Linked DNA regions of Elephas maximus indicus. The protein of the gene in region 2 interacts with the protein of the main gene of each other region in a pairwise test. Links are inferred from orthologs where the notes say so. Each region holds a gene or a part of one and is shown on either strand. Other genes may lie near its edges.

Region 1 (7,262 bases), on a different chromosome or scaffold from region 2:
GACCAGGGGCCTGGAGTCCTGGATTCCCTCCTGGCCCCAGTGCTGCCCCTCTGTCCAAAGGAGGGTTGCTCAGTACAGATGCCACACAAATGAAGTCATAAGGGTAGGAATCAGGGTCACTCAGGCAGCCAGGCTCCTGGGCACTCAACATGCTGCCTGTCTGCCTCACCACACCTAGTCTGCGAAAGCAGGACCGCCCATCGGCATTGCATTGGAAGCCCCGGGGGCAGCAGTGGCGTCCATCCCCGCAAGACACGGCCTGTGGGACATAGAGAAGCCTGCATTGGAGAGGTCCTCTTCCCTGGGGTGGGAGAGTGCAGCAAGTAAATGCAGATCTAAGCCCATCCACTGAGCCAGTGGCACCCTCACCTCTGGTAATGGGCAGCAGCGGGAGGTTCCCGAGACAGTGAGGAGGCAGGAAGAGCCAGCAGAGCAGTGGGCATCAGTCTGGCAGGGTATACCCAGATGCCTGCTCCATGTTGTGGACAGAGAGGGCCATGTGTCCTGGGAAGAGAGGGACGAGGATAAACCAAAGGGTCCATGCCTGGCTTTGTCCTCAGGCCAACCTGGGGAAACTTAGGCTCCCAGCTTCCGCCTGGGCTGAGGGGTGCTCACCAGAATGGGGTTGCAGCAGCTGTAGCTGGCTCCCCCTGGGTCCAGGCAGCAGGCCACAGGGCAGAGCTGACCATCTGGGCACTGTGTTCCATCCACCAGCCCTGCCACCAAGGCCACCCAGCTCACCAGGGTCCACATGGTCCACCTGCAAAATGTCAACCAGCATTTGGGAACTCATTAGCTTAAGCCCATGCCACCCTTGATTCTGAGGCCATTCACAGGCTCAGGCCCAGGCCCAGGCCCAGGCCTACCTGAGCCTCCCCAACAACTCCCTGTCCAAGTAGGAAGAAAGATGTGGGGTCCGAGATTCCACTTCTACATGTCACCTGTGTGTGTGTGTCTCCATGAGCATCAATGCTGACATGAGTATATGTGTGAATCTGAGTCCCCGACATGGCCTAACACCTGAGTCTGTGCGTGTGGCAGAGACGTATGCATGTGACAGTCAGGAGGATGTGTGGTTTTTGTGGGTCTGATCTGTGGGGACACAGGCCACCTGGGTGGGGTAGGGTGGGGTGTGGTGAGCACCAGTAGCCACAGGAGAAAACAGGGATGGGGGTGGCAGGAGAGAGCTCCACGGCCCCTCGTCCTCAGCCAGCTCTTCCAGATACCTCCCAGCCTGGTGGTGTGCATACACATGTACCCCGCTACGGCCTGCGTGTGTGGGGTGGTCACATGATGACATGGGAAACCACAGGGTTGAGAAAGTTGAAAAAAGGGAAGTGTGGTGGACAGTGGAGTCTGGGCTTCTTTTCCCAGAGGCCAGCTGACTCTCCCCTACCCCTACACCCATGGAGGGAGACACAAGGCTGGGGGGCGGCCTTTGAGACACCTGTTCTTTGAGAGCCCCCCAATACCACCAGGGCCCTCTCAGACTCCCCAAACATACCAACCACTTGCCCCTGCTTCTCCTCTACCCTGAGCGCCAAAACTCAATCACATACAAAAAGAGACCACATGGGATCCATGAGGGCCTCTCGGCCCTCACCTGCCTCGACTTGAGTCAGCAGGAGGAACTAAGCCTCTCACTTCCTAAACAACTCTTCCCCCAAGCTCCACGGCCTGACGAGAGCAACGGGGCAGGCCTGGGAGGCACTGACTTGCCCAGTGTGTGGGTTGTGCCCCTTGAGAACCAATTATAACATCCTATTTTATTTCGTCTTTGCAATAACCACCCAAAATAATAATTATTATCTTTACTTTTCAAAGGAGGAAACTGAGGCTCAGAGATGTTAAGTATGGTGCCGCTGCTGTACGTCAGGTCATGGCGACGACAGGTTTTGATGGCTGCACAGCTTATTGGACCTGGTTCTTTTCACAAGTGATGCCCCAGGCAGGGCTCAGGAATGAACCCCCCCAAACAGAGGCCTGGGGTCCAAGCAAAGGGAGGGGGACAGAGGCATTTCCTGAGCAGGTGGAAGGGGCAGGGAAGAAAAGGGAACAGGGGTTTTGTGGAAACTGCACTTGGGTCCTAGTCCTGGAATTGTCACCAACAGATTGTGAGAGCCTCAAAAGGTGAGTGGATCAGGAAATCTCTCCCACCCAGTCACTCCCTCACCTGGTTTTCCTCAGGTGCCCCCTCCCCCAGGTCAAAGAACAGATGAGGATGAAGACTGGTATGGGATGCTGCCCTTTCTCCCTCTCCTCCACCACCACCGCTCCCAGGAAAAGCCTCTGCAGCTGGCCCCACCTGCTTCAGGGGTGGGGGTGTCTAAACTCACTCCTCAGCTGCCTATCCTGCTGCCCTGGCTGAGGCCAGAGGGTTGTCTGCACAGATCTATGCTTGTTCTGGACCCCGGTGATTTATGTTTATTTTCCTTCCTGTGTATCCTTAGGTTAGGGTGTATAGTTCAAATCTCTATTGAATACATACACACACAGAACTAGAGACGGGGGAGAAGGAGGCCCAGTCCCCGCCTCGGGCTGCTCCTCAGTAGGGTTCCTAGCGGCGGCCTGTCACCCCCAACGCACACTTCCACAACAGAAAGGACAGGAGCGTCTTCAAGCCCCCAGCTCCGTCATCTTCCACTAGGGGGCACCCCCCAACTCCTAGTGGCAGAGAGGAAGATTCCCCAAAAGTGAGCCAATCCATTTGCAACTGAGGAGGAAAAAGTGGCTGGGAGAGGCGGAAGTTAGCTCGTCCTACCCCCACGTGAGGAAGCAAGGAAGAGCCAGACAAAACCCAGGAGCCCTGGTGGTGCGTTTGGCTGCTAACCAAAAGGTCAATAGTTCGAGTCCACCAGCCACTCCCTGGAAACCTTGTGTGGCAGTTCTACTCTGTCCTATAGGGTGGCTATAAGTCGACACAACACAGGGGCTCGGTCACCACTCCCAAGTCCCTACCTTTGGGGCGGCCAGGGTCTCAAGTCCTGCTCCCAGTTCCCCGGGGCAGCCACGGGGACCACTCCACCGCCACCACCAAAAGAGGAAGGAGCCGGCTCCTGTCAACAGATGGCTCTAGAATAGGGTGGTACCTGCTTTGAGGAAAGGGGCTGCAGCTTCCGGGGATCCTGGCACGGAAAAAGCCCCCTTCTAATGGGGTCACTGCAGTTACCACCTACTCTCCCCTAAAATTCCCTCCAGTGCATCAGAAACCCTCAAAGGAGTTTCTGGACGCAAATCTCCCTTCGTCTCCCGGCTGAGACTCCAGGAGCACCTCAAGCTCACCAGTCCCCGGCCGGACCCCTGGGAAGGAGCCAGTGAGAGGTGTGCACCGCCACCCTCTTACCTGCGTCCGGATCCGCGCTCCCTGGCAGCAGCAGCCGGTCGGCTCGCGCACTACAGCCCCTCCGCCCGAGGACCCGCCCACCTCAGTGTCCATTGGCCAGCGGCCGGCATGCCTCCCTCCCATTGGTTATTTGTCGACGTGGAGGCAGGGCCAGTCTGGAATACTGTGTTTCTTTTCAACCCAATTCACTCCCCCTTCCTATCTCTCCCCACCCCCCATCCCTGCAGATCATGTGATTGGAGAATCATGTGACGCTCTGGCCCTTCTCAGACTGCCGTCCAGAGCCAGCTTGCAGATCTTCCTACCTCCACCCCTCTGGGCTCCTGGGAGAGTTAGCCTCAAGGAGGCAACGTGTCTGGGGATGTTAACAGCCAAGGGGGCTACCCCTCAGGGGTTTTGCTCAAAGGCGTTTACAGGATGTCGGGTTGCATCCCCTTTCTACTCTATTCAGCAGTTAATTAAATGCTAGGGATTCAGGGCCCACAGGGGGTTGAGGAGGGTTGTGAGGATAAGGACAAGCAGCCCCCAGGCCTTTTTTTCAAGACGCTCACGGCTGGCCGCGGATAAGGAAGGGAGAACAAATCGGAATAAATCTAATTTAAATGTACGAGGTCGTGTGCCAGGTGCTATATATTGTGAATATGAAGAGGTAGTAGGTTTGCCACAGGGTGGGGAAGAAGAGATTAATTCCACTTTGGGAGTTCCTTCTTGAGCTGTGTCTGGGAGGATTTTAACTGACAGGTGGGGAGGGGCTAGGAGTCCCTGGGTGGTGTAAACAGTTCAGAACCACAAAGGTTGGAAGTTGGAACACACCTAGAGGCACCTGTGAAGAAAAGCCTGGCTGTCTGCTTCCGAAAGATCACAAAACCTTAAAAACCCTATGGAATACAGCTATACTCTGCACACACACAGGATCACCATGAGTTGGAATCAACTTGGTGGCAACTGGTTTTTAGGGGAGAGGCTGTAGAAATGACTGGAGGCCAGGGGTTGGGGCGGTCTTGGGAAGAGCATCAGAACACTAGATGGGAAGGGCAGACATAGGCAGGTTGAATGCCCTGTTCAGTGCAAGTGGCCTTGAGTAGCTGCTGGGTGCCTGAAACAAGGCTGGGCTGGGGGTGGGAAGTGGAAGTACTTCTTAGTTTCAGTAGGCCCTGCCTTCCAGAAATTGACATGACAGGTAAGGAGAGAAAATTTATACACAGAACAGATTAGCCAGTGACAGGAGCCAGAACTGCTCAGTGCCAGTGGCCTGGCACAGGCAGCAGTGGCTGATGGGGAGATGGGCCAGAAGAGAGGCCCAGGGAAAGTGCTGGGCCTTGGAGGAAGGGCAGTGGACAGAGGCAGAGTGGACAGAGGGCACTACAAGCTGAGGAGAGGGCTTGAGGTAAGGTGGTTGTTATCATCGAGTCAATTCATACTCTGGTGACTCCACGTGTGCAGAGTAGGACTGTGCTCTCTAGGGTTTTCAAGGCTGTGACCTTTCAGAGGCAGATCAATAGGCCTGTCTCCTGAGGTGCCTCTGGGTGGGTTCAGACCTCAAACCTTTTGGCTGGTAGTAGAGCACTTAACGTTGGAGACACCCAGGCACTCGGGGCTGGGGCAGGGAGACAAATAGGGGTGGTGGGAGTCTAGGTAGGGAAGGAGTGACAGAGTTGTGGAATTGTGTTACAGGGGTTCTTAGCCTGGGGCTAGAAAGGGCCCAGAAAGTGGATAAGGCTCCTGCTGCTAAACTAGGACTACTTTGCACCCTGGTGACTTATTTGTGTGTATTTTCTTCCCGTGTATCCTGAGGTTAGGGAGTATGGCTTATGTTTCTATTGAATACACCACGCACTTGAGCTTCATGAAATGTTAAGCAAATTAATAAATGAATCTATGCATCACAACTACACAGAACCAGAGAAAATGCATGCAGGAGAAAAAACCTCCAAAGTGACTGAAACAGACATCACAAATTCAATCTCTAAAGCAGTAATTTTGTCCCCAGAGGACAATTTGGGGGGGCAGTACTGGCATCTAGTAGGTAGAGGTCAGGGATGCTGCTAACTATCCTACAATGCACAGAACAGTCCTCCACGGTGAAGAATAATCTGGCCCAAAATGTCCATAGTGCTGAGGTTGAGAAACCCTGTCGTAAAGGATCACAAACTTTTTCCATAAGGGAGTCCCAAGTTTTCCACGTGCATAGGCCCTTTGATTTCATACACTTTTAATAAATGTGACTATCTGATTTCCCAGCAACAGAAAGATGAGGGGATATGTTGAAGTTTCTAGAGGCAGGCACTTGGCGTTTAGCAAGGATTAAAGGCTTAAGGGGACAAAACCGCTGAAAAGCAGACTGAAGAACTCAAAAGCACACCAGATGTGGGACATTGAATGCAGGGCCAAAACAGCCCTGTAGGACTGGCGACCGTAAGGGCATCCCTCCTAAAGGACAGTAATTGACAGTCAAGGGATCAGCCAGAGCATTCAGAAAAGTTTAAATCATATGCAGTTACTCTGATTACTAAGGCAAGGAAGTGTGAAATACGTTTACTAAACCACTTGACAAAGTGGATGAAATGAGCCTTGGGCACTTCAGTGGAGAGGATACAGTCCCCAGCCCCACTCCATCCTCCAGGGCTGTGGGCCAGCTACCACATTCCTCAAGAACACCTCCAGGGGACCTTGATCAAAACGGATAAAATGCAGAACAGAATTTCAAACTCTCATGGAATCCAGACTTTCTGGAGCCATGGAAGCTAGATGAATCTCAAAACTATTGCCCTGAGATAATCCTTAAAATTTAAATCAAAATATCCCCCAAGTTTTCTTAAAACCAAACAATAGTTTAACTTAACTAGTAAAAAACGTCTGCCTTGGGCATTATGCTCTTTTAAGAACTATTTATATGAGATCGAATTGACAGCAGCAACTGGAAAGATCCCATAGGAACCTTAGAGGGCAGTGAGTTTATGTTAATGGAGGAGCAACAACTCAGAAAAGGAAGGTGAGAATGGTTGCACAGCTTGAAGATTGTAATCAGTGTCACCAAGTTGCGTAGAAACTGTTGAATTGGTGTATATTTTGCTATGTATATTCTCAACAACAATGACAAATAAATTATTATTATTTTTTAATCTAGTTGTGCTGGACTCAGTCTGGTGGAGACTGAGGTAGTTGTGATCCATTAGTCCTTCGAAGTAGTCTTTCCCTTGTGTCTTTGGTTTTCTTCATTCTCCCTTGCTCCAGACGGTGTGGGACCAGTGAAGTATTTTAGATGGCTGCTCACAAGCTTTTAAGAAACCAGACTCTACTCACCAAAGTAGGATGTAGAGCCTTTTCTTTATAAACTGTTATGCCAATTGAACTAGATGTCCCCTGTAAAAGAGATATGACATCAAGGAGTCAGTCCCCATTTGCGCCCCTCCCTAAGCCCTTCCCAGGCCCGCTTTGTCAGGCCTTGTGGTCCCCAGGACTCATGCTGCTTCCCTGCATGACCTCACCCTGCCCAGCCTGGGTGTTAGTATCTCGACCTCTGTCCTTTTTTGGGTTTGCTTACAAGGAAATAAACCACAGCCTGAAATCTCCACAGACATGTTCACTCCTGCCCTACATCTGGCCCCAGGTTCCCTGGTCCCTGGGAAAACCAGCATTGCCTGCCTGCAACTCTCCAGGCACCTCTGCAAACCCCCTTCAACCCTCCTCTCCTGCCTGTACCTGCTGTGAGGGCCTCAAGCATAACCACCTGGGCTTCTGCCCAGTCTGGTGACTCAGCCCTTCCCTGAATGCCCTGGTGTTCAGCCTGATTCCAAAGTGAGGCTTGGCTCTAGTGTAGAGAATGTAGCACCGGGTGGACAGAGGTAGGCAGGGGTGGGCCCTGAACCTGACCCCCTGCCATCTCCTTCCAAGAATTTTATATCTTTCTTCCTTCCTT
Region 2 (8,334 bases):
TCCCAGAGTTGGCAGGACTGTGTGCCCAGGCTGGGCACAGCAGAGGGGATAGTGGTGTCAGCTATGGCTGGCTAGGCTGGGGCACAGGCAAGTCCACTGACCTGCCAAGGATCCCAACAGAAATCCATCTGTTTGTCCTAAAACAAGAGGAGAAAGAGGATCAGGCAGTGCCTGGCACCCAGGGCCAGCAGATGGCAGAGTCCTGGAGCCCTGGGTGGTGGGTCAGGTCAGCGTCTGGTGCTCTGTGAGGCCAGGGTCGGCCTACCTGTGGGCCTTGCCCTAGTGTCTCGTACAGAGAAAGAGGAGGGGGATGGCAATGGTGGCACTGCCAGGAGAGGCAGTGGGTGCAGGGGATGGGTCAGACCTGGATTTGAGACCTGACTGCCATTTCCTAGCCAGCTATCCTTAGACTATTGACTTAACATCTCAGAAGTGGGGTCACTAGGGGGTGCAGGGGGTACGGACCACACCAGGTGACACTATCAGAGGGGATGACACCAAAATGACTGCCTATAAAATTTTTGTGCACTGTTTCAGCAGAAATTTATTATTTTTTATAAAAATATCCCTGTAGTCAGTTATAACAACAAAAACATTTTTTCTAAGCCCAGCTTACATGTATCAGTATACCTGGTTGTTAGGTGCCGCTGAGTCGGCTCCCGCTCACAGCGACCCTATGTACAACAGAATGAAACACTGCCCGGTCCTGCGCCATCCTCACAATCGTTGCTATGTTTGAACCCGTTGTTGCAGCCACTGTGTCAGTCCATCTCATTGAGGGTCTTCCTCTTTTCCCTGGCCCTCTACTTTACCAAGCATGATGTCCTTCTCCAGGGACTGATCCCTCCTGATAACATGTCCAAAGCAAGCGAGACAAAGTTTTCCCATCCTCTCTTCTAAGAACCACTCTGGTCGTACTTCTTCAAAGACAAATTTGTTCATTCTTCCGGCAGTCCACGGTATAGTCAATATTTTTCACCAGCACCAGAGTTCAAACGCATCAATTCTCCTCTGGCCTTCCGTACCCATTGTCCAGCTTTCGCATGCATATGAAGTGATTGAAAACACCATGGCTTAGATCAGGTGCACCTTAGTCCTCACAATGACATCTTTGCTTTTTAACACTTTAAAGAGGTCTTTCAATACACCTACAAGGCTAAAATTCTATGCTAATTTACTTTTTGAACCTTCTAATGGAAACCCTGTTGGCACAGTGGTTAAGAGCTACAGCTACTAACCAAAAGGTCAGCAGTTTTAATCCACCAGCCACTCCTTGGAAACCCTGTGGGGTGGTCCTACTCTGTCCTACAGGGTCACTATGAGTTGGAAGCGACTCGACGGCAGTGGTTTGGTTTTGGTGTTCTTATATTTGCTGATTTTGTCAAATTTTCTGGTGTTTTAGCTACAATATTGTGGTAATTAGTATTTGTGAACCTCTATCAATAACTTTTTTGAGAATGAAGTAGTGATCAAAGGAAAAGGAGTGATATAGAGGAATTATGATTTACAAGTAACGTTAAGTACATAAAACATTACTAAGAATTCTGTGTGGTCTGGTATAGGAGAAGGTCTACGGTGGTGTGGGGGTGACACCATGAGTTACCACACCATGAGTCACTGCACGGGGTGACACCAACCCTAGTGACACCACTGGGACCAGGCTTGTTTAGAAAAGAGTCCTGTACTGAAGGTTTTTTTGCAGATAACAAATTCTGCTACTAGCCCACAGCTCCTTAGCAGCCTGCACTGCTCTCTGGAATGGAATTCTCATCCATATGGATTAGGAGGATTTTGCTAGGGGCTCCAAATCCTGGAGCATAATTGCCACCCTTGCCCCATGGTTTGTGGCTTGAACCTACCAGTCATATAATTGCCCCCCCCCTTTTTTTTGAGCATATACCACATAGCATTGTGGTAGGAATTATGCCTACGTTATGTTTTTATGCTTCTCCAGGTAAGCTTTTACCCGTCTGGTAAGTGGCACTGTTCCCATTTTACAGAAGAAGAAACTGAGTTTCTGAGATGCAGTGGCATCACTAGGGTTGGTGTCACTCAGTGTGGTAACTCATGGTGTCAGCCCTCCTCACGGACCTCTTCCCGTACCAGACCAGTAACATTTTTTGTACTAATGTTACTTGTAAATCGTAATTCCTGTATATTGCTCCTTCTTGTCCTTCAGTTGCTACTTCATTCTCAACAAAGTAATTTAGCCTAGAGTTTTAGCCTTCTAGGTATATTGATACATGTAAGCTGGGCTTATGAAAACTTTTTTTGTTGTTATAACGACAGGAATATTTTTATGAAAAGTAATGAATTTCTGCTGAAACACTGCACAAAAATTTTATACATAGTCATTTTGGTGTCACCCTGTGATAGTGTCACCTGGTGCAGTCTGCACTCCCTGCCTCCACCTCCCACGCCCTACTGACACCACTGCCTAGTCCAGGGCCTAGAGGCAAAGCATAATTCAGGCCCCTCCTGGCTGAATGCCTTAAGGTCCCTGACCCCACGGGAAGTAGCCAAGCTTGGCAGGGAGGGAAGGAAATTGGAACGATTTCTGCTCCCTGTGGGGAGCTGCAGGGGACAGGCCCGGGACCAGAGCACAAGCAGGGGTGAAGGAAGGGGTGAAGAGTGACCAGTTACCTTGCCAGTGACATGGTCTGGAGCAATGGTGGGCGGGTGGCTGGAGGGCAGGTCTGGGTTCAAGGGGTCTGTGCCCTGGGGCATGGGGCAGTCCTTGTGGGCACTTGTGAACAGATCTGAAAATAAAAATGACAGGAGGAATTTACAAAAGCTCAGTCCCCTACTGCTTACAAAACCTTACATCAGCCCTGCATGATGGGTATTACTGTATTATAACCCTTTGTCGTTTTACAGAAAGGAAAGGTCAAGTCCACAGCAGGTGACGGGTTCAGCCACACTTCTCCTAGCTGGTCCTCTCTGTAGGAATTTCTTACCCCATCTTCTTCATACATACACACGTACAGTGATGAAAATACATGCCAAAACATTGGGCAATACAACTTCCACGTTTACAATTCAATGACATGGATTACATTTTCACGTTGTACCACCACTATTGCTATCCTTTTCTAAAACATTCCACCATTAACATAAACTCCACGCCCCTCAAACAAAAATTCCCCCTTTCTCCCTCTCTCCCACCTTCGGTTACCATTAATAACCTTTGGTTTCTCTATATTTGCTTATTTCGTGTAAGTGAGATTGGGCAGGATTTGTCCTCTTGCAGCTGCCTTATTTCGCTCAGGATGATGTTTCCAAGGCTCACCCATGTTGAGGCGTGCATCGGGACTTCATGTCTCTTTACTGCTGCAGAATATTCCATTGTGAGTATATACCACATTTTGTTTATCCATTCATCTGCTGATGGACATTTTGATTGTTTTCACTATTGTGAAAAGTGCTGCAATGAACATTGGTGTCCATGTTTTTGTTTGCATTCCTGCCTTCACTTCCCAGCTTCTTTTTACTCCCTTTTCCTAATTCTAGACTCACACTCCAACATTTTTTGACCTTACAGAGACCCCCAGGCCATTGGTCCTATTCTTTTCCCATAACTTTGTATGCCCTCACTTCCCTCCTTGCCCAGCTAAGACTCCCTGGCTCATCTTATATGCGCTCCTTTGCAGATACCTAAACTCTCAGCTCGGCTGTAACCTAATTATCCATCTGCTCTGAGCCTGGGCCTGAGGAGCTGAATGTTGCTGGAGGAAGTCACTAGCCTTGTGTTAAGTTGGTGACCCCTAGTCTGGACACTGCCCAATAATCCTTCTACATTTCCTGCTAAGTTTGCTTCCCACCAGGTGGACTATTGCACCCCACCTTTCCAGCTCAAGTCTCTGGGTAGTGCAAATGGTTAATGAGCTTGGCTGCTAACTGAAAGGTTGATGGTTCAAGACCACCCAAAGCCACCTCAGATGAAAGGTCTGGCAATCAGTCACTGAAAACTCTTTGAAATACAGTTCTATTCTGACACACATGGGGTCACCATGAATCGGAATCGACTTGAAAGTAACTAGTTTTCCTTCTCAAACCTCCAACACCGCAGCTCACCTCCTCACACTCTGCTGCTGGCTTTTCCTCACCCCTCACCGAAATCTAGAAGCCTTCGATGGCATCACCCTGATCTTCCCACCCCAAGTCATCATCCTGCCTGCATTTCTGCCCATATCCTCTACTTATTCTCCTGCCACAAGGTCAGCTCCTCCACACAGGAGCTGGCCGCATCCCTGCCGTCTACCTGGGGCTCTGTTCTCTCTGCTGGGTCATCAGTGTTTCTCTCTCTCCGAATCACTCCATGAATATCGCGTGTACTGCAATGCCTCCTTGCCTCTGCTCAGGAACTCTTCTGTGTTCTCTCTCCTGCCTCCTGCCTCATCAAGTCCCCTCACGACAGGGTCAGGCCATCAGCATCCAAGAAGCCCAAGCATCTCCCATCTTCTAAAAACCTTCTCTCCATCTCTGTTTGCCTTCAGCTACTTCCCCAACCTCTGCCCTCCTTTGCGGCCAGACTTGCGGAAAGAGTTGCGTAGCACGTCTGTCTCCTTGTCTCCCATCTTCTCCTTCCTCACTCCAAGCAGGCTTCCATGAGACAGGCCTTGTCAAGCAGCCAGTACCTCATGTGGCCAAGGCCAATGGTGACTTCTCTGTCCTCATCTTCCTGTCAGCAGCACATGGATGTTGCCCAGCCCTCCTCTTTCTCTTCCTGGCCTCCCTCCCACCTCCCTGGCTGCTCCTTTTTGTCCCCTTTGCTGGCTCCTCCTTCTCTGCTCAACCCCTAACTGTTGGCTGCTCCACAGCTCCATCCTGTGCCCTTTCTCACCTCCATTCTCTCATTTGCGTGCTGCTGATGCTCACACTTACACCTCTAGCCCTAAGCCCTCGCTTGAACTCCTGGATGAACTTCCAACTCCCTATTTGGCTGCCCAATGGGCATCTCAAACCAGTCTGGGCAAAAAAGGATTCACAAACCCGTGTCCATTCTTCTTCATCTCTCTGACTCCAGGAAATGATGCAACTGTCCACTCAGTTGAACCAACTAAAAACCTAAGAGTTCCTGGAGTCCTGTCTTCCCTCATTCCCCCTCAATCCCAACCAAGCCACCAGGAAATCCTATTGACTCACCAACATACATTCCAGGCTCATCCTTCTCCACCTCCACCACTGCTCCCCTGGTCCGAGCCATCACTGTCTCTCTCCTGGACCACAACAGTCTCCTGCTTCCTCTCCTGTCCCTGTAGTCCACTCTTCACACAGCAGCCACTGGGCATTTTACGTTCTAAGTCAGATTGGGTCATTCCTTTGCCTATAGCCTGCCACGGCTTTCTTCCATTGTACTTTGGGAGAAAAGCCAGCACGTTCCTACAGCCTTCAGAGCCCTACCTGGCCAGCTCACCTATCCTATCCCAGACCTCAGTTGTCTTGCCCCTTTGTTCACTCTGTTCTGGCCACTCTGGCCTCCTTCTGCTCCTCACATGGTCAAGTCTCTTCTGGTCTCACAGTCTTTGCCATTACTGTTGCCTCTGCCCAGAACACTCTTTCCCCAGCTCTTCCCCAACCTCATCATTCACACCTCAGCTCAAGGTCACCTCCTCAGAGAGGTCTTCCCTGACCTTGTACCCATGTGGCCCTCCCTGTCCCGACTCTGGTCACTGGCCACTGCCTGTCACATTGCCCAGTTTTACTTCCTTTATAACATATCACTTTCTGTTATGCCTTGTTTATTTAAGCTTTCACCACGTACCATACCCCCTTACCTACCCTGGGTGAATGTCAGCTCCATGAGACCAGAGACAGCGGCTTCCTTGCTCACTCTCTGTCCCCAGAGCCTAGAACAGTGCCTGGCATATAGTAGGTGCTCTGTAAACACTTACTGAATGAGTTCTACCTTTATTACGGCATTTAGCATAGAGTGTCTTGGTAAAACTATTTATGTGTGGCAGCTCGTTGAAGGCAGCGACCGTGTCCTGTTTCTTGATGCATCCTGGTGCCTAGCACATTAATAGGTTAGCAGAAACTGTTGAGGGAATGGACAAGTGCGTGTCTTTTTCTCTAAGTGGAATTCTTGGACTGAATTCATGGACTGAATTGAAGGAGATCTTTCCATCTCCAGAGGACAACTGGAACTCCCGTATACTTCATTTAATTAATGTATTTATTTGCTCTTTGATTCATTAAAAAATATTAGCTGAGTACCTACTGTGTGCAGGCACTGTTCTGGGCACTGGGCACAAAGTGATGAATGAGACAGAGTTGGTTTCTGCCTTCACAAAGCTGACATTTTAGTGGGGGAGATGGACCATTAACAAAAAACTCACAAATGAGTAAGGTCATTTAGATAGGGGTCATAGCTATGAAGAAATCAAGTGAGATGATGGGTCCTGCTGTGGCCCATAACTGGATGAGAAAGGTCCAGTTATGTGACAACGTGGAGGATGATCATTCATCCAGCCAGCCAGCCAGCCAGCCACCCATCCATTCATTTATCCATCTACTACACTTCACTGGGCAAGTGCCTGGGAACAAAATGAGATTAAGACTCTGTCCCTGCCCTCATGGAGCCCCCAGTCTTGTAGAGGAAACCGGCATAAAAACTCCTCATTCAAACACCGGGGGGACCCAGGGGGGACCCTAGCACTCATGGAGCTTTCTTTCCACACAGCCCTCCCTGCAGCGTGATGGCACTGAATTCTCACATTGACCCAGAGAGGAAAGACTTTGTAGCTGTTTTACAGATGAGGAAACTGAGGCACAGATGGGAAAATCACTTGCCCAGGGCAGTCAGAATTAGAACCCTGACCTCCTGACCCAAGGCTCACGCTCTGTCTTCCAAAGCACAAAGGGAGCGATGAGTTGGGGAGGTGGGGGGCTGCACAGGAAAGTTGATGGAGGCAGCTGAGCCAGGAGGACTGCTGGGAGGAGGGTGTTCTCGGCAGGAGCACAGCTTGAGTAAACCATAGGGTCTAGAAGGGAGAATCAAGGAGCCGGGGATGGTACAGCAGGACTGTGTCTGGGTTGAAGCAGGGAGGGGGTGCTTCTGCAAGAGCCTCGTCCCAGCCTCCAGTCTCGCCCTGTGCTGGGTGCAGGCCCCTACCGCTCTTTTCTTGGGCCAGCCTATGGAAGCAGCAAAAGAAAATATCCGCCTGTAGGGCTTCCTAAGGAGCCCTGGTGGCACAATGGTTAAGAGCTGGGCTGCTAACTGAAAGGTTGGTAGTTAGAACCTACCCAGGGGCTCCTCGTGAGAAAAGACCTGGTGATCTGCTCCCATAAAGATTACAGCCTAGGAAACCCTATGAGGCAATTCCACTCTGCCACATGAGCTTGCTATGAGTCGAAACTGACAAGATGGCACATGACAGCAACAGCAGAGCTTCCTGGGGGAAGCTGAGGCCAGGGAGGGTCTCAGGGCTGGGAGGTGGAAGGGGTCACTCAAATCCAGAGGCAGGGCTGGGAGCTAGTAGGTGGGGGAGGTAGAGAGTGGGCTGATTGGAGACTAGAAGACTTGTCATGGTGTTGGCGGGGGACAGAGCTGAGGGGGCTAGAGGGCAGTGGGGGTGCTCTACCCTCCCCCTAAGATCATTTTGGAGCCCTTGTTCTGGTTTCTGTGCACTGTTCCCTACCATGTGCTTTGCTCCCAGCAGGCCCCCCTACCATGCCCCCCACCACCAAGAAGGATCCCTGGAGAACTCATTCATGTGATCTTAGTTATCTAGTACCGCTGTAACAAAAACGTCACAAGTGGGTGCTTTTAACAAAGAGAAAATTTATTCTCTCACAGTCTAGGAGGCTAAAAGTCTGAATTCAGGGTGCTAGCTCCAGGGGAAGGCTTTCTCTCTCTGTGGGCTCTGGTGGAAGGTCCTTGTCATCAATCTTCCCCTGGTCTAGGAGCTTCTCAGCACAGGGACCCTGGGTCCAAAGGATATGCTCCCCTCCTGGTTCTTCATTTTTGGTGGCATGAGGTCCCCTGTCTCTCTGTTCACTTCTCTCTTTTATATCTCAGAAGAGATTAATTTAAAACACTACCTAATCCTGTAGATTGAATCCTGCCTCATTAACATAACTGCCTCCAATCCTGCCTTAATAACATCACAGAGATAGGATTTACAACACATAGGAAAATCACATCAGATGACAAAATGGTGGACAATCACACAATACTGGGAATCATGGCCTAGCCAGGTTGACACACATTTCTGGGGGGCACAATTCAACCTATAACACATGCTAACCCTGGGAGACCTATGGTCCCCCCTCCCATGTCATCTCCTACCACCTCCTCCTCCCTCCCTCACTCCACTCTGGCCACACTTATCA
Region 3 (7,895 bases), about 26 Mb from region 2:
CAGACTCATCCTCAGCCTGTGCTGGTCCTTCTTTCTCCATTGCCCCTTCCTTCCCTCCATCCTCCTACGGGAGGAAACTCCATCTTAGCAACCTTCACTTTTTCCCTCTCCCTTTCCCCTAGGTCCAACTTGCCATCAGATGCTGACATTTCTTCTTTTGAAGTACTCCTGGCACTTTCTCTATGTGCTCTCTCTCCCCGTGGCCAGGGGGCTGAAATCCAGCTGTTTGCCATGGCATGTACCATGGACTACAACTGCCTCACAGATAGTGCTTTTCCTCTGATTCTTCTGCTCCAGTTTTGCATGGAAGTATAATATAGGCTAGAGGCGGCCATGCCCATGGGCCTCCTTCAAACTCCAAGATCATCTAGAATCTCGCCTCAAGGTGTCCACCTGTCAAGCCTCACCACCCATTGCTCCCCTCACAACCCCCACACTCCTTTCGAGTTAGGCTTCTCACAGCTGGAACCTACCTCACCTATTCATTTAGTTGCTTCTGTACCCAGGGTGATGCAGGCTATAATAAGCCTTGAGGGCCTGGCTGAAGCCCAGTTCCTTCGGATCAGCTTCTCCCAGCCAGCTGCACGGGCTCAGCACTTAGGCATGAATAGACCCTGTGAGGCCATGGAGTCCGGCCACCACCAGTGTGTAGACTTCAGGAGTCTCTGACTCTCACCTGGTGCTGCTCTAGAATTACAAGATGGAGCCTGATTTGGTTTGGTTTGGATTAAACACTTGCCTGAGCCAGAAAAAGTTCCCAGACCTTTTTGCTCAATGTCAAGGAGCTTATCCCCTCCCAATATGGCCTAGTCCACTTCTGAGCAATTTGGACAGTGTGCAAAGCCCTTTCCCCTTTGTTCCTAAGTTTGCCCTCTTATAGCTCCCCATCACTGGTTTTAGCTCTGCTCTCTGTGGCTGCACAGAACTGCCCTGCAGAGACCTAAAGGCAGTGCCTGGAGCAAAGCCTTTGGTGGATTACATGAGAGGGGCAGGACCCCCTCTTTCCTCTTTGAAACTTAGTCAGGCTGTTTTATTTATTTGTGTTCTCCCGCCATCACACTCACCCTGGAGACAACGGAACCCAGACCCAAGAAAGGAAGGGTTCATCTAAGGTCAACTAGAGCTCAGCAGCAGCAAAGGAAGGCCAGGACCCAGCTGGGGCATTTTCTTTGGAGATCTGGCCCTGCCGAACATGGGTAGACTCTTCTGCTTAACTCTAGAGGGCTGCCCTCCAGCCGTGAAGGAGCTAGCACTGCCCCATGCACAAAGCCAGTGTCCCCTCTGTGCTCAGAGGCTTCTTCCAGGGTTGTGGGCTTAGAATGGGGAGGTGGCAGTGAGGGTGGGAGGGGCTGCAGAAGGCAATAATCCAACACCCTTGCCAGCTTCAGAGGAGCGGGTGCTGAGGCAGTTGCCATGGTGACAACAGCTCCCTGGTCAGGAGATTTTCTCCTTCCTCCTCTTGCTCTTCTCCAAGCAGCAGCAATAGAAGCAACAGCAGCCAGGGCCTTTGGGTTTCAACTGGGCAGGACTTCTCCCTCTCCTAACTAATGAGAGGCAGCCCATGTTAAACAAAGAGTAGGCTCTGTTGACCACACCCATCTCAGGGCTGTCCATGCCAGGGTGGGCTTGTGGTCTAAGAGGCACTCTTGATGGTGGGGTTTTGGAAAGTGTGTGGGCAGAGGTGGCCTGGGTAAGAAGTAATGTCCCCTCAGTGAGGACTGAAGCCCTCGGACCTTCTCTCTGAAAGGTTCTAATGGTTCAGAGAAAGAGTGAAAGAGTCCAGTTTCCCCACAATCTGTGACAGAACCAGAGCACGTCAGTGTGGAGGATTGTTAAAGACTATCTCATCCAATCCATCCCCCTGTCCTGGGACGGATCAGAAGGAAGTGATTTGGCCAAAGTCAAACAGCAAGTTGGGGCAAAGGCAAAATCTGAACCCAGCTCTGCCCTCCAGGTTCAGGCCACCTTAGGGAAAGAAGTGACATGGTTCACATGGAGCTTTGGCATGGTCCCACAGGGCCAGTGGGAAGATGAAAGAGGGGAAGGCACTGGGCCTAAGAAGATCAGAGAGGATACAAATGAGAAAGATATCTGAGAGGTAGAATGAGAAGACTTGGTGCTTTGGCTGTGAGGGGTGAGGGGAATGGAGCCTTGGCAGTAGCGACTGAGAGGGTGTGGGTGGTCTGCTGGAGGTGATGTCCCTGACTCAACCTCCAGTCAAGGCAAAAGAGGCCAAACACAGGACTTTGCCTCACTAGGGCCATGGGGAGGGACTGCTGAGAGAGCGTGTTTATAAGGAGGGAGACTGGGGGGTGGGGGGAATTTTCCTCCCTCACATATGCTATGAGCTCTGTCAATTTGAGGGGTGGAAAGTGGGGACAGTCCAAGGGGACAGTGTGAGGTGGGAGTGGGCTCTTATGGAGGTGGAGGCTGTCTTTGGAGGCAGGGGCCCTGTGGTGTGAAGTTTGGTGAGCTGTCAGTGGGGCTGGGTGGTGTGGTTGGGGGCTATTGGTGGGGGTGGGACATTGCCATGGGGCTGGGAGACCATCCATCGACAAAGCAATGGAGGAATGGTAATTGGTGCTCCCTCTAGCACCAGAGACACCACATCCCCAGGTGTGTGTGTGTATGTGTGCACACGTTCAGGGCCAGAGCAATGGTTGTTCTTACCTGAGCTGGGATAAGGGGGCAGCTCTGCCTCCCTTCCTGGGACCCTTGAGGCCTGGACTGAGGTGGGGGCCCCCTGCCCAGGGGCGGGCCCTCCAGGTGCTGACGCCTATGGGGGAACCAGGGACAGGGAGGTGAATCAGAGGGGTCTCGAGATGAGGATGGGAAGAGGTAGTGGAGGGGGAGGGGGCAAGGGGTTCGGCCCCGAGGGGTGCCTCAGAGGTCCTGCCCCACCCACGTTACCTGAGGCCGCTCAACGGGTCGCTGGAAGGCTCCGAGCCTTGGCCGGCAGCGGGGACGGAGACTGGCCCGGGGGAGCTGTCGGCTGGGCTCTCCTAGGTTCGCGCTGGAGCCGCCTCCCAGCTCTTGTATCACTATGTGCTTCTCAGAAGCGACACGATTTGCATAAGGCCCGCCTCATCTCGGGCAAGTTGGGCGTTGATTGGCTCGGCTGAGGCCGAGTGACAGGAGGGGTTTCAGGTGGGGATGGGTAGCCAGCGAGGCCTGGCTGGAGAAGCGCGCCCCGCCCGCCAGCGCTGACCTTCCGGGCCTCGAGAGGAAGGGGGAGGGCTGTACCCCGGTGTGCACGGCCGCCCTGAGGCTCAGACCCCGGGTGCAGTCTGGGGTGAAAAGTGCCAACGATTGAAACGGGTTCGCAGATACAACCGCGCCGTTGCTATGGAAACAGGAGAGTCACAGCCAAGTCTCTAAGCCTTCCCTTACTGGGCCCCAGCGGAGGTGGGGGTGGAAGAGGGGATGAGTCACAAGATGCGACCCCCCCCCATGTCCCACCCGAAATTGAAGAAGGGCAACAAGGAGCTGCTGATAGCTGGGTGGGAGGTGGAAGAGCTGGGATAGTCTAGCTGCCCACGCCTTCTCATCAGCTCCTCATACACACCCACTCCCCTCAAGCTGAGGAGCAGAGAGGAAGGTGGGTGGGCGCAGAGAGCGCAGTATCAACGGCGAAGGACCCACCCTCACCTCGCCCCACGCTGGCCCCGGACTGCCTCCGCCACCTCTGCAATCCCTAATTTCCATCTCTCCCCAGGCGGGACCTCCCTGTTGTCCAAGGACCCCAGCAGCCACTCGGTTTCTCCCCGAGAAGGACCCCTCTGCCTACTCCATGGACCCCTCCATTCCCCACCCTTCCGTCTTTCCGTCCCGCAGACGGAGCCGGTCCCCAGCCGCCGCCAGTCTCCGGCCTCGGATGTTGACACAAACCTATGGCGGTTTACACTGAGCGGGTCTGGAAGGCTTCAGGGCTCGGGGGACACCTCCTCCTGCACTTGGGGGTCTCCCCAAAGCCCGCCCCGGCCGTCCTGGCTGCACCGGCAGCCGAGAGCTCCCGAAGGTGGGAAGGCACCCTTTCACCGTAAACAGGGGGCCAAAGGGGAGCAGATAGCCCCGGGCTGGGCCACGTGCGGGGGAGGGGCTTCTGGGAATCTGTCAAAGGGGCGGGGCGTCTGGGGCGTGGTCGAATGGGAGCGGGGATACCGAAGACCGCGGCGAGGAGGCGGGGCTTCTGCCCGAGTTGTGAACCTTGAGGCCGCCGGGGCCATGCGGGGTGGAGGATGGAGGTGGGCCTGCTGCGAGTGGGGTCAGGCTCCTGGGGCTGGTCCCAGCAACTCCCGGGCCAAGCTCGCAGAGGAGGAAGCAGGGGGCGTCCCTCTTCTTTAGGAACCGTAATACTCCCCCTTACACTGATTTTGCTGCCCATTCTATCCGCTGCAATCTATTTCCTCTCTGGGCCCTTAGCAGGGTGCAAGCTACCTGGGGCTCCAGTTTGGAGGCGCATCCCTGGCCCCCATGGGTGGGTGACTCACAGGGTGGGGATAGGTGCCTGCAAGCGCTGACTCTACCACTTCCTGGGTACCTTCTGTGCTCTGGGGACCCAGAGACGGCAAGAAGACATCCCTGCTCATAGAAAACCATAATCTGAGGCATGAGGAACTGGGGAGACAGCCTGGGAAGTTGGAAATAGAACCTGAAGTTCTAAAATGAGTCTCTTCTTTGTCCATTTCCCCACAGATGACCCTACATGTGATTGTAGGCAAAACCCTTCTCTCCCTGGACCTCCCTTCTGGTCTGTAAAATGTGGGAGCTGGTACAGGAAAAGCAGAAGAATTTCAAATAGGAGGCTGAAGAAAGGCCATTTGTCATCCTGGGCAGACTAGGAAGAAAGGCCTGGCGATCTACTTCCAAAAATTAGCCAGTTGAAAACTTTATGGATCACAGCAGAACACTGTCCGACTCACTTGTTTTGAAATTGTCATCATGAGGGGTCAATCACTGGAGGAGGACATTGTGTTTGGTGAAGGGAAGTGCCAGTGAAGGCGAGGGAGACCTTTGATGAGATGAGTTGGCACCTGAGCTGTAATGATGACCTGAACATGCCGGCCACCCTGAGGCTGATGCAAGATTGGGCAGCATTCATTTCATTCTGTTGTACGTAAGGTCACCATGAGTAGGAGCCAACTCCCTGGCAGCTATCTGTAATCTGACTGCTCCACTGTGAGCCACTTAAATATAACTGATATATATTGAAAGCTTAGATTCCTGAGTAGTACAAATGGTTTGCACTTGATTACTAATCAAAAGGCTGGAGATTCAAGCCCACCCAGTGGTGCCCCAGAAGAAAGGCCTGGCTATCTGCTTCTGTAAAGATTACAGCCAAGAAAACCCTATGGAGCTCAGTTCTACTGTGTAACACGTGAGGTTGCCATGACTTGGAATCAACTCAATGGCAATGGGCTTGGTGTTTTGTTTTATTGGGAGCTTACTTTGTGTCAGGTGCTATTCCAGCACTTTATACCTATTACTTAATTTATTCCTCATAAGAACTCTATGAGGTAGGTACTATTATTAGTGCCATGTAACAGATAAGGAAATGAGGCACAGAACAATTAAGTGACTGGCCCAAGTTCACATACCTAGTAAAGCTGTAGAACTAGGATTTGAACACAAGCAGTCTGGCTCCAGAGCTCACACTCCTAGCCAGCACACAATACTGCCTGTAACTAGGCCCTTCAGGTCCTTAAGGAAAAGGACCTTGGGTTGGAATATTCGCTTCTGATCCCCCAGTGCTTTTGAAAGGCAAAGCCCAGCCTCCTGGGAGCAGCTTCTCTATCTCAGAGTCCACTAAGACATAGGGTTCCAGGAGCAGCAGTAGAAAGAACAAGAACCCATTGCCATCAAGCTGATTCCGACTCATAGTGACCCCATAGCTCAGCTATAAGGGGGCCAGTGTGTGACTCCTCCTGGCCACCCCCATTCCCCAGCCCTGGAATCAAGCATAAGATCCAGGCAGGTTAGATGGGAAGGAAGGCAAGGGGCAGTTGGTGAAGCAGGATACATTGTGCTTGCTCTGGACCTTTAAACCAGGCAGGACCACCTGTGCAGCCTGATCCATGAGTCATCTTGGAGGCTCCCTGCACCCCTGCACTATTCCTGAACTCCCAGTCATAACCTACCTTCATCTGCTTCTAATACTAGAGTCTGAGATACTGATCTTGCTCCTGCCTCTGACACAAGGTTTAATGTTTAAAGCAGTCACAGCTGACATTGACCGAGTTGCTGCACTATGTACTAGCCCAGGTCTTTATCTACACCATCTCACGTAATCCCAAAGATGACCACTGTCAGGGTAATATTAAAATATCTAGCAACCTGTTAAGGCACGAGCATTACCAATCAGAATGGATGCTGGCCTTAGTGCTGAATCAAGATCTTATTAGCTCTCTGTTCTGCCAAGAGTTAACACTTTAGTGACTAGATCAAGGGATGGGGGCACGGGCAGGGGAGAAGTTAGGGTGATGAGGGGCTCAGGGCTATGGCTATCTACTTACCAATCAATGTTGAAGTATTTCCATGTTTTAACAACCAGTTCAGCTGTACTGGTGCATAGCGGCTGATTTTCAGCCCCAGTATTTTTATCTTCAAGGTCCCTGGGTAGTGCAAATGGTTCGCACTCGACTACTAAGCTAAAGGTTGGAGGTTTGGAACCTATCCTGCAGCACTGTGGAGGAAAGACCTGGCGATCTGCTTCCGTAAAGATTACAGTCAAGAAAACCCTATCGAGCAGTTCTACTCTGTAATGTCATGGGATCGACATGAGTCGGAATAGACTCAACGGCAACAGGATTTGTTTGTTTGCTTGTTTATTGTTATATTCAGAGAGGCATTGATGGTCCAGTGGCAGAATCCATGCCTCCCATGTGAGAGATTCGGGCTCCATTCCCAACCAATACTCCTCATGCGTAGCCACCACCCCTCTGTCAGTGGAGGCTTGCATGTTGCTTTGATGCTGAACAGGTTTCATCAGATCTTCCAGACTAAGACCAGGAAGAAAGGCCTGGCAATCTACGTCCAAAAATCAGCCAAGAAAGCCCCATGGACCACAACAATTGGATCCGTAACCAATTATGGGGATGGCACAGGACCAGCCAGTGTCTGTTGTGCATGGGTTGCCATGAGTTGGGCCTGACTTGATAGCAGCTAACAACGACAATTGCTCTCTTCATTTCATGGTAGTGGAACAGATGCTCAGAGTGGTTATACAACTTGAGCCTTGTAACACAGCCCGTTAGTGACAGTGCTGGGATTCAAACCTAAGTCTAACTGACTGACCTCTGTTCCTGGGAAGGGGTAATATCCAGGACCGAATTGGGGTTTCCACTGTTCTGCAGTTGAAGGCTAAGCCAGAGGAAGGTGGTTTGAGTGCTGGGGCTTTGTTGTGACCTTGCTTGTTCTCAAGCTTGAAGCCTTGGCAAACACTTCTTCCACGTTGTTGACGGAGTGGGCCCTGCAGAACGAGGAGGGTAGAGGAGGTTGTGTGAAAGAAGGGACAGGGTGACTGTGTGGGAGGCTCCAAAAGGGGACACAGGAATGGAACCCAGCAGGACTTCAGTGAGGGCAGAGGTCTGCAGGCAGTGGCCACTCCAATCTGCTTTACCAGAGTGCTAGATTCCTTTCCCAGTTGGTCCCCAACAGTCCTTTTATCATGGATAATGCCTTCCTGGCTCCCTGGGTTTCCTCAATCTCAGCAAGTGCAGCCTGTTGACAGCTGGAATCCCCCTGAGTCCTAGATATTTCACAGTCTCCTCGTGGCTGGAAAAGAGTGAGATCACCACGGTTGGGCTTCTTGCCTTTCCCCTATTGGCTAAGCAGGATTCTTTTACATTCCAAAATAAGAATCTCTCTATAATCTTTTTTTTTTCTGCCTGTTAATA
Region 4 (7,847 bases), on a different chromosome or scaffold from region 2:
TAATTTTTTTCTAATTCAAAATTATATTAAGGAAAATGGATTCCAAAAGGAGAAAGAAGTCAGAATGATCTATTCTAAGACAAGACAGGATTTTGAAGACCTTTCTGGATCAGATGGTATCCAAAGTACTAAGATCCCAGAAAATGGACCTATGAGTTTATTTGCAGTGGCAATTCATACAACTAAAAATGAGCACAGCCCAGCGTTATTTTTTGTTGTCGCTACTTTCTGTCAAGTCCATTCTGACTCATGGATGCCCCATGTGTGCAGAGTGGAACTGCTCCATTGGTTTTCAAGGCTGTGGCTTTTCAGAAGCAGACTGCCAGGCCTGTCTTCCAAGGATCCTCTGGGTGGGTTCGAAACTTGTGACTAGTACTTGAGCACTTAACCCTTAAGGATTACCTAAAAAATCATTAAAGAAAATAGAGGTCATATGTTGTGTACTTCTGCTACCACTATTTTTTGTGTATGTTGTCACTAACAAAGGCAGTGAAAATTTCTAGCCTAAGAGCACCATCATGAATTTATAGGTTAGACTCAAATATAGAAGAGAGAATGAAATAAAACATTTTCTATTCGTTGGGCTGCCAATCACTTGCATTTTCTGTGATCATTTCTCAGGCTCCAAAAAACTTCCAGGAAATTCAAAATTTTGACAGTCTAGAAACTTGAAGCAAGGCTGTAAGACACTTTGTGGATTGTTCAAATTTTGAGGAAAATTGCTGACTGCAGCCAGAGGGTGGTCTTCCAAATTGAATTTAGATCTAGCCATGGGTTACAGAGATAAACCATGATGAACTGGGAAAAATGTCCTACTGGGTCCATTAAAGTAGGACTTTTAACCCCTCATCTGCACCAATAGACATGGAACGCTCCCTCTAACTGCATGAAAGTCACTACATCATTATCTTGGATTTTTCACTTGTTTCAGAAAAACATGCTAGAAAGTACAAACATATACAATGAAACACTTTATGTATCAGAAAAACTAATGTGCAATTTCATTCTAGGAAATAATGTGCTGTTTTAATTTAGGAAAGTTATTTTGTCTATTCATATATATATTTTTAAATAGGATAAAAACCAGGATAAATGTAATTATCTTACACAATGCATCTCCTCTGTAAGGGTTAAGGGTCATAGCTTTTGGGGATAGAGGCACTTTACCCACACAAGAAAACTGCTTTCATTATTCTTTATACATTTAAGTGAGTATAAATCCATTTTCCAATTCCTGTTTCTTTTCATCTTCTAACGATGACTTTCAAACACTTTATTTTTCTTCCAATTTCCTAAATGCCCCATGCCTTAAATTCCACCCTTCTTTGCTCAAATATTTTAAACACAAGCACTTATAAAAAATACTACAATAAACTCACAGGACTGCAGGCTTAGATCTCTTGTACTACTGCAGTTCCCACAACCCCCTCCCTACAGTACTTTCCCACCTCCTCTCCCTCCACTCCAGAGAGTGAAAGCTGACATCGCCGTGTTGGGGACGCGTCTTTAGGTAATGGGACAACTGCTATAGCTGATGGCGTTCCTCACTCGACACGATGCAGCGTTTCAGTCCCTCTGCCCCTAGGCGCATAGGAGCGCGCGCCAGCGCATCTCTGCTCTGTGACCACCGGTGACATTTGCAAATGTCTGAAAGAGCAAAGAGGGCTCTCTCATTTTTTAGTGCCCCATCAAATTCCGCTTTGAAGGTTCATTCTACTGCACTGAAGAGGGGAGCTGCTTTCTATATATCATTCTTTCAGTGCCTTTTAGAGCTGGTTTCTCTACTGTGACTTGACGCAGCATATAAAACTCGACTAAAAAACATCTCTGGGGAAAAAAATAAAAGAAAATTAGATGAAACTATAAAACAGCTGGAGATTAAAAACTAAGCTATCGTATTAAGGACTTCCAACAACGCTGCAGTGCAAATGGAACTAAGAATAAATAAATCCGCCTATACAATTAAGGCAAACTTGCTTTACGAAAGCGCATACATCTAAATCAAAGCGACCCTACAAAAGATCACGGTTTAAAGTATCAGTGGACATTTTTTCCCCCCTAAACACAAGTGGAAAGCATGTTGTCTAAAAGCAGAAACTGTCAGAAAAGCGACCGCCAGAGCGCGTAAATAGATAGGACTCTTTGAAACCCAGAAATGGCATCTTGACACCCTCGGTTGATGCAGACTGTAGTACGAAAGAGGCTGTTCTCTTGAGAGAAAGAACCCAGCGTAAAATGCTTTTGTAGGGAAAAATCTATAAAAACGGGAAATTACTTTCAAAGCCTGGGAGGTTGTCTTCATAGCCAACCAAAGCTGCTTGTCCAGAACTGATTTTTGCCCTCACCCCATCCCAGGAACAGAAGGAAAACCGCCTGGCACGCGGAGGAACCCCGCTACGCACTGCGCGATGCAACAGGAGCGCAGAGCGGGCGCCCAACCACAGCCGCGCAGCGGTGGAATGTGCTGCGCTCCCGCAGCGCTCCGAGGCCGCGCGCTCTGCTCCGCGCGGCTCCGCGCTCCGGGTTTCCGCGGTCACCAGCACCCCGAGGAGGAGCCCCGCGGAGAGGGGGCCGCTGCGGGGAGGGGGCTGCCGCGGGCCTCGTCCCCGGAGTCCGGAGAACGCTCTGTCTACGGTAGCCTTCATGAAGCGTTTGGCTCAGAGAAGCGTGGTCCTGGGCTCCCGGACCGCTAGGTTGGCGTTGAGACTGAGGCCGCAGTTTCGGCTTAGCTACCGGAGGGCCTCAGCCTAGCGGAAGCGTTTGATTGCCAAACTAGTCAATCGGAGTTTTTCCCAGATCTCCGTAGGTAGCCATAGGTTCGTTCCAAGCTGGGCTCTCCCACTCGGGGCCAAGAGCATCTCCCTCCTGGCAGCGAAGGTTTGACACTCTAGAGCCCAGTTTGCCCCTGGGGACGCTCTTCATGCCCCCAGCACGGAAAGGTTAACTTTGCAGATTTCCTGAATGTGGTAAAGTGTGTGAAAGCGCTTTGCAAATAGTAAAGCGCTCTCCTTAAAGTGAACATCCTTCTGTCCTGCGCCCCAGGATTTCTCTTCCCCGAATGTAAAATTCCCCCCTGAATGTCAACCCCAGGTGGTTTTTTTTTTTTTTTCCCCACCTCTCCGTGCCTAGAATAGTGGCTGATACTCGTTCAGTGAATAACTGTTGAATGAATGTACATACACACACACTTGGAGAAACCGATCAGGTTGGAACATCTCGCAATTCTTTTTTTTTTTTTCCTGGTAGGGAATCGACCAAACATTTACTGGGCATTACTGCTTGCCAAGTCTTCTAGGCTTTGGCAGGCCAGCGGGTAGCGGGGGAGGGCTGCAATCCAGCGCCTCAGTCAGGAGCACAAGGGGCTTTATAAAATCGGCTTGTCCAAACCATCAACCCTAGATTCGCAGGATAGTTCAACTCCACCACCCCCACACACATCCAATGTATAGTCAGGAAATATGTACTTATTAAACGCATACAGAAGGTGCTTATTGATCGTTTCCCCAAGGTCATACAGGTCAAGAAGCAGAACTTGGACCCACTTCTCTTCAATACACATTTCTCCAATGCCTCCTCTGGATCAGGACCATGCTGCGCGCTGGGGTACGTAAAGGACACGGCTCCCAGTACTCCCATCATAAGACCCTCGGATGAAATGGCCCACGGCAAAAATGACCGCCATAACCGTTCCTTCAATGAGCCAGTGCTCACAAGTTCTCTGGGAAGGCTTCCTTCCCAGAAAGGGTTTCTGCAGTTTTCTTTTTCACCTTAAAAACAAAACAAAAACCATTGCTGTGAGTTGGAATCAATATATATATATATAGGGCAGATTATTGCTGCCCTTACAGAGTTTCCAAAAATGTAAATCTTTAAAGAAACAGACTGCCACACCTTTCTCCCGCAGAGCCGCTGATGGGTTCCAACCTCCGACCTTTTGGTTGGCCCCCGATTGCTTAACCACTGTGCCACCAGGGCTCTTTTCTTTCACCTAACAGCCTGACAAAGGATTGGGCTAGGGGCTGGTTAGGACCGACGGCGGCGGGAAAAGCAGAATCCACGTGTCCTGTCTCTGGCCTGCGCCTTTAGCCACCAAGCACAGTGACCGCGGGGCGTGGCTAGCTCAGCCCGCCCTCCTTCACGTCTGTACAGGTGAGGGTTTTGCCCAAAGCAGGGCTTCCTTTTCCAATATACTTTCCTTTAGAGTTTCTGCTAAAATCTGGAGACGCGGAATCCACCCGCGGCAACGCCGAGCCCTTCCAACTGAGCATGCGCCATTGCCGGGCGGCTTTTGATCACCGGCTCCCGAGCTCCCAGAGCTGGGGCTGCGGAGCTCGAAAGGGGAGGAGGGAAAGGGGAGGGTGCCTGGAGAGGCGGAGGCTCGCGCGCCTGCGCACCCAGCTCTAGGGACCCTAGATTTTCTATGGGATTCCCAATCTGCAGCAGAGACTTATCCGAGCGTGTTGCGGCGGCAGCTGTGGTGGCAAGGCGCGATCCAAGAGGGATTTAAGCAAACTAGAGCTCTACAGAAGAAAAGAGTGTGAGAGAGCCACACAGAGACGGCTTAACCGTTTATCCGAATTAAATATATATATTTAAAAAAAGAAAAAAGAACTGTTGATTTTTATCATTTGCGTTAAGTGACCGTGCGAAGCGCTGTAACTGTAAGTGGAAAACACAATCTTCGTTGCCTTTTTGCATGTATAGAGCAACCAACTGCCAGGGAGCTGCTTTGGCTATTGTCACATACTTTGCTTTGCATAGATGCGTCTAAATGCATAGTGACAATTGTTTTCGTTTATGCTGGCAGTGTGAATGTGCAGTTAGTAGTGGGGGACCTTTTGGAATAGCGGGGATGGGGGAAGGGGTGTGTTTATATGCGGAGTGTTTAGGGGATTGTCTTAGGATGCCTTTGAGACTGATGGAACCGAGATGCTTTTTTAGTTCAAGTCTATAAATAGACGGATTTCCTTACACCGATTTAGGTAGCTAACTGACCGATCGTGAAGTTTTCCGCTGCTGATAAAAGTATTAAGCGGTTGCAATCAAGTACCAACCTGTCATCCTTGGGGTTGGTGCACCATTTTTCTCAGCGTGGAAGAGCAGCAAAGGTGTTTGCTAAGTACAACTGAGTGGTCAAGATGTTACGGAAATCAGGGTTGAATTCGAAGCGGGATGTTAGTATTTAGACCCCACGGAGTTAGGCGCTACATGAGCACATTTCGCTCTTCGTATTTAAAAATGAGTGGATAATTTTTCGTTTTTCAGTTTTCGTCATGATGGTGAATGGGCAGAAAAGGAAAGATGTTCTACCGCACAGTCAACTGTCTATTCGGAACAGAGTCTGAGACTGGGAGTCGCTGAATGGGGACTGTCAGACCCAAACTAGTTACCTGCCTTTGCATTCCACGTCGCATTCTGGAATGTAAACCCAGATGTATGACATCTGGTAGTGTTTTTATTTTTTTAGAGGAGGAAAGGTCGTTTTGTGTATTGAGTTAAAATGGGTTGTTCCTTGCCCAGAAACTGGAAAAGGGGTCTTTGCAAGGTCAAATCCCGTCTGGATATCAAATTGCTGAATGCTCTCTGGGGCGCTGGTGAACGTGTGGCGAGTGGAGGGCGCGAGGAAATGGTGATGCTGCACGTGAGTGCTCAGCACTGCACGCCTCGGTGCCCCCGTGAGATGGGAGTGTGGGAATCCATTTTTCTGGAGTTGCCCTCCTGTCCATATTTTGGAGACTAGAATGAAATAGAAATGCTAGTGGGTGTGGGAAACAAAAGCTGCATAGTCTCCGTGTCACTTCCCACTTGAAGGAAAGAAGATAAGGAGTTTTATGGCTACATATTAAATTTCTTTTAATTAAAGGAATTTCTGATTGAGACAAATCCAAAATGAAACTCTTGTGGAAATGCATTTTACCCCTACTGCCATCTAAATTACCTATGTGTGGGGGGGGGGTCTCCTGCATCATTGCACACCCTACTCATCAGTGCACGCTTATTAAGCTTTGAATGTTTAATAACCCCAGAAAACGCTGCACTGAAGCAGCTTGGCAGAAGGGTATGAGGCAGGCAGACCAGAGAAGAGCGTGGCCAGTGTCTGACCATAGCTGCTGGATTTTCGTGGAAAAAGGAGATCCAATTTTGGGGATGAAATGAAATAAATTTTCCCCCAAATAAAGCAAATCATTACAGGGCTCTTTGACCCTTTTATCAGTCCAACTATTAGGAACCCCCAATTTATTTAAATGGATGAGATTTGAAATTGAAAATGTAAGAAGATTCTCTCCTTGGAAGCCCAAAGCATAAATCTTACTGCCTTCTAAATTCTTTGTGCCTGCCTTCTTTACTTGAGGGTGGAAGGGCCAATCGTTTGTTACAAATGAGCCATACTCCTTGTCATCATTTTCGAGTTGGCATCGGTTCGACAACTGGTATAGGTGTTGCACTGCATTGTTAATGCCCATTAAAAAAAAAAAAAAACATTGCTGTCGAGTCGATTTCAACTCATAGCGACCCTATAGGACAGAGTAGAACTGCCCCATGGGGTTTCCAAGTAGCAGCTGGTGGATTCAAACTGCCGACCACCATAGCTCTTAACCACCACGCCACCAGGGTTTCCAAATTCATTGTTAATGAGTGGTGGGGAAAAAGGGGAGGTCTGGTATTAAACCTCATAAATATTTGCACTTAGATTCCCGGGCTCATAGGCTATTAGTTATATAGGGCCAGATCAGGAAGAAAACTTCGAAGGCACCTAGTACAATCCCCTCATTTTGCAGATGTGGAAACTGGGGCCCAGAGCCTTAGAGCTAGAGAAACATCAATTGACTTCTAGTCTGTGGAATAGAAACTTAAAAAGCAATGTGGAATGAAAATACTGCTTTCTCTCTGCACTTGCCAGCATCCTCAGTGACATTGCTGCAGTCTCCAGGTAACTAATTGCCTGCTTCAGAGATGGTCTCCTGTGGTCCCTTTCAGACCATTGAGCTTCCCTTCTCTGCCTTCCCTTTCCTTGTAAGGTCTCTTTCCATCTCTTTTCTATTGCCCCTCACCTCTAATACACCCACATCACTGGGTGTTTAGTCTGACATTCCTAGCCTCCTCTGCATCTCTATTTCTTTGGAGCCCTCAGAATTTTTCCAGAGAGCTCTGTGGCGAACCAGTCAGATTCTGCTCTTTCTGTCTGAGGACTGCCCAGGCCAGGACCTTTCGCCATCCCCTCCCTGCTCTATTCACCAGAGCGTTTCAGTGAATTCAGCCTTCAGGGATACTGCAGGTGCCATCGCCACGCTCTTCTGCCCATCCAGCCTCTTCTAAAACTGCTGCAGCTGCAGGGATCGGGACGTGGTGGAGTGAGCACGCTGCAGTATAAACACACCACAGGCTCTGCCAGCTCTCCCCGGGCTCCTAGAAGGTAGAGCCCAAACCGGAGCTACCTGTCTCCAGCCTTCAGGGAGATCCCTCAGATGAAGTCACCTGCAGAGAAGGGGGTGGGAGCAGAGATAACTGGAGGACGAATGCTTGACTGGTTCAGCCTGAAGGAGTGCTATAGAAGGGAATAGTGTGCAGCTTTTTGAAACCTTTAGAGCTTCTAAAGCCATTGCATAGTTTTTCTTTGGGCTGGGTTTACTGGACAAGAGCCGCAAAGCAGGCATATTGACCTGCCTACCCACCTGCCTTCCCTCCTTCCTCCTTTCCCTTTTCTTTCCTCTCCCTCTCTTCTTTTCTTCCTCATTTACGTCCTTCCAAGTACCTGCACAATAAAGTTTTAGGCCTTTTGAAGATAATCTGTGGAGTCCTGTTCCTTCTCCAGAGATATAATCTCCCAGGCACTCAAGTAACTACCA

Evidence for each region.
Region 1: the proteins of FAM131C (region 2) and GRN interact in binary tests that used the Homo sapiens proteins (3 or more experiments, as listed by UniProt). The link is inferred for Elephas maximus indicus from reciprocal best matches to the Homo sapiens genes FAM131C and GRN.
Region 3: the proteins of FAM131C (region 2) and HPCAL4 interact in binary tests that used the Homo sapiens proteins (3 or more experiments, as listed by UniProt). The two-hybrid records come from large-scale screens. The link is inferred for Elephas maximus indicus from reciprocal best matches to the Homo sapiens genes FAM131C and HPCAL4.
Region 4: the proteins of FAM131C (region 2) and VSNL1 interact in binary tests that used the Homo sapiens proteins (3 or more experiments, as listed by UniProt). The two-hybrid records come from large-scale screens. The link is inferred for Elephas maximus indicus from reciprocal best matches to the Homo sapiens genes FAM131C and VSNL1.

The regions. Positions count from the first base shown.
Region 1 is NC_064837.1:50,850,456-50,857,717, reverse strand, and holds the start of GRN (progranulin), read right to left. Parts: upstream 3,421-7,262; 5' UTR 3,344-3,420; intron 3,057-3,343; exon of another isoform or gene 2,959-3,056; intron 2,665-2,958; exon of another isoform or gene 2,489-2,664; intron 761-2,488; 5' UTR 754-760; coding exon 616-753; intron 505-615; coding exon 370-504; intron 260-369; coding exon 175-259; intron 1-174. UniProt on the Homo sapiens protein: Secreted protein that acts as a key regulator of lysosomal function and as a growth factor involved in inflammation, wound healing and cell proliferation. Regulates protein trafficking to lysosomes, and also the activity of lysosomal enzymes.
Region 2 is NC_064821.1:55,772,172-55,780,505, forward strand, and holds the start of FAM131C (protein FAM131C), read right to left. Parts: upstream 3,294-8,334; coding exon 3,290-3,293; intron 2,760-3,289; coding exon 2,644-2,759; intron 138-2,643; coding exon 102-137; intron 1-101.
Region 3 is NC_064821.1:81,329,863-81,337,757, forward strand, and holds the start of HPCAL4 (hippocalcin-like protein 4), read right to left. Parts: upstream 3,035-7,895; 5' UTR 2,911-3,034; intron 2,777-2,910; 5' UTR 2,671-2,776; intron 1-2,670. UniProt on the Homo sapiens protein: May be involved in the calcium-dependent regulation of rhodopsin phosphorylation.
Region 4 is NC_064830.1:33,336,335-33,344,181, forward strand, and holds the start of VSNL1 (visinin-like protein 1), read left to right. Parts: upstream 1-4,450; 5' UTR 4,451-4,661; intron 4,662-7,847.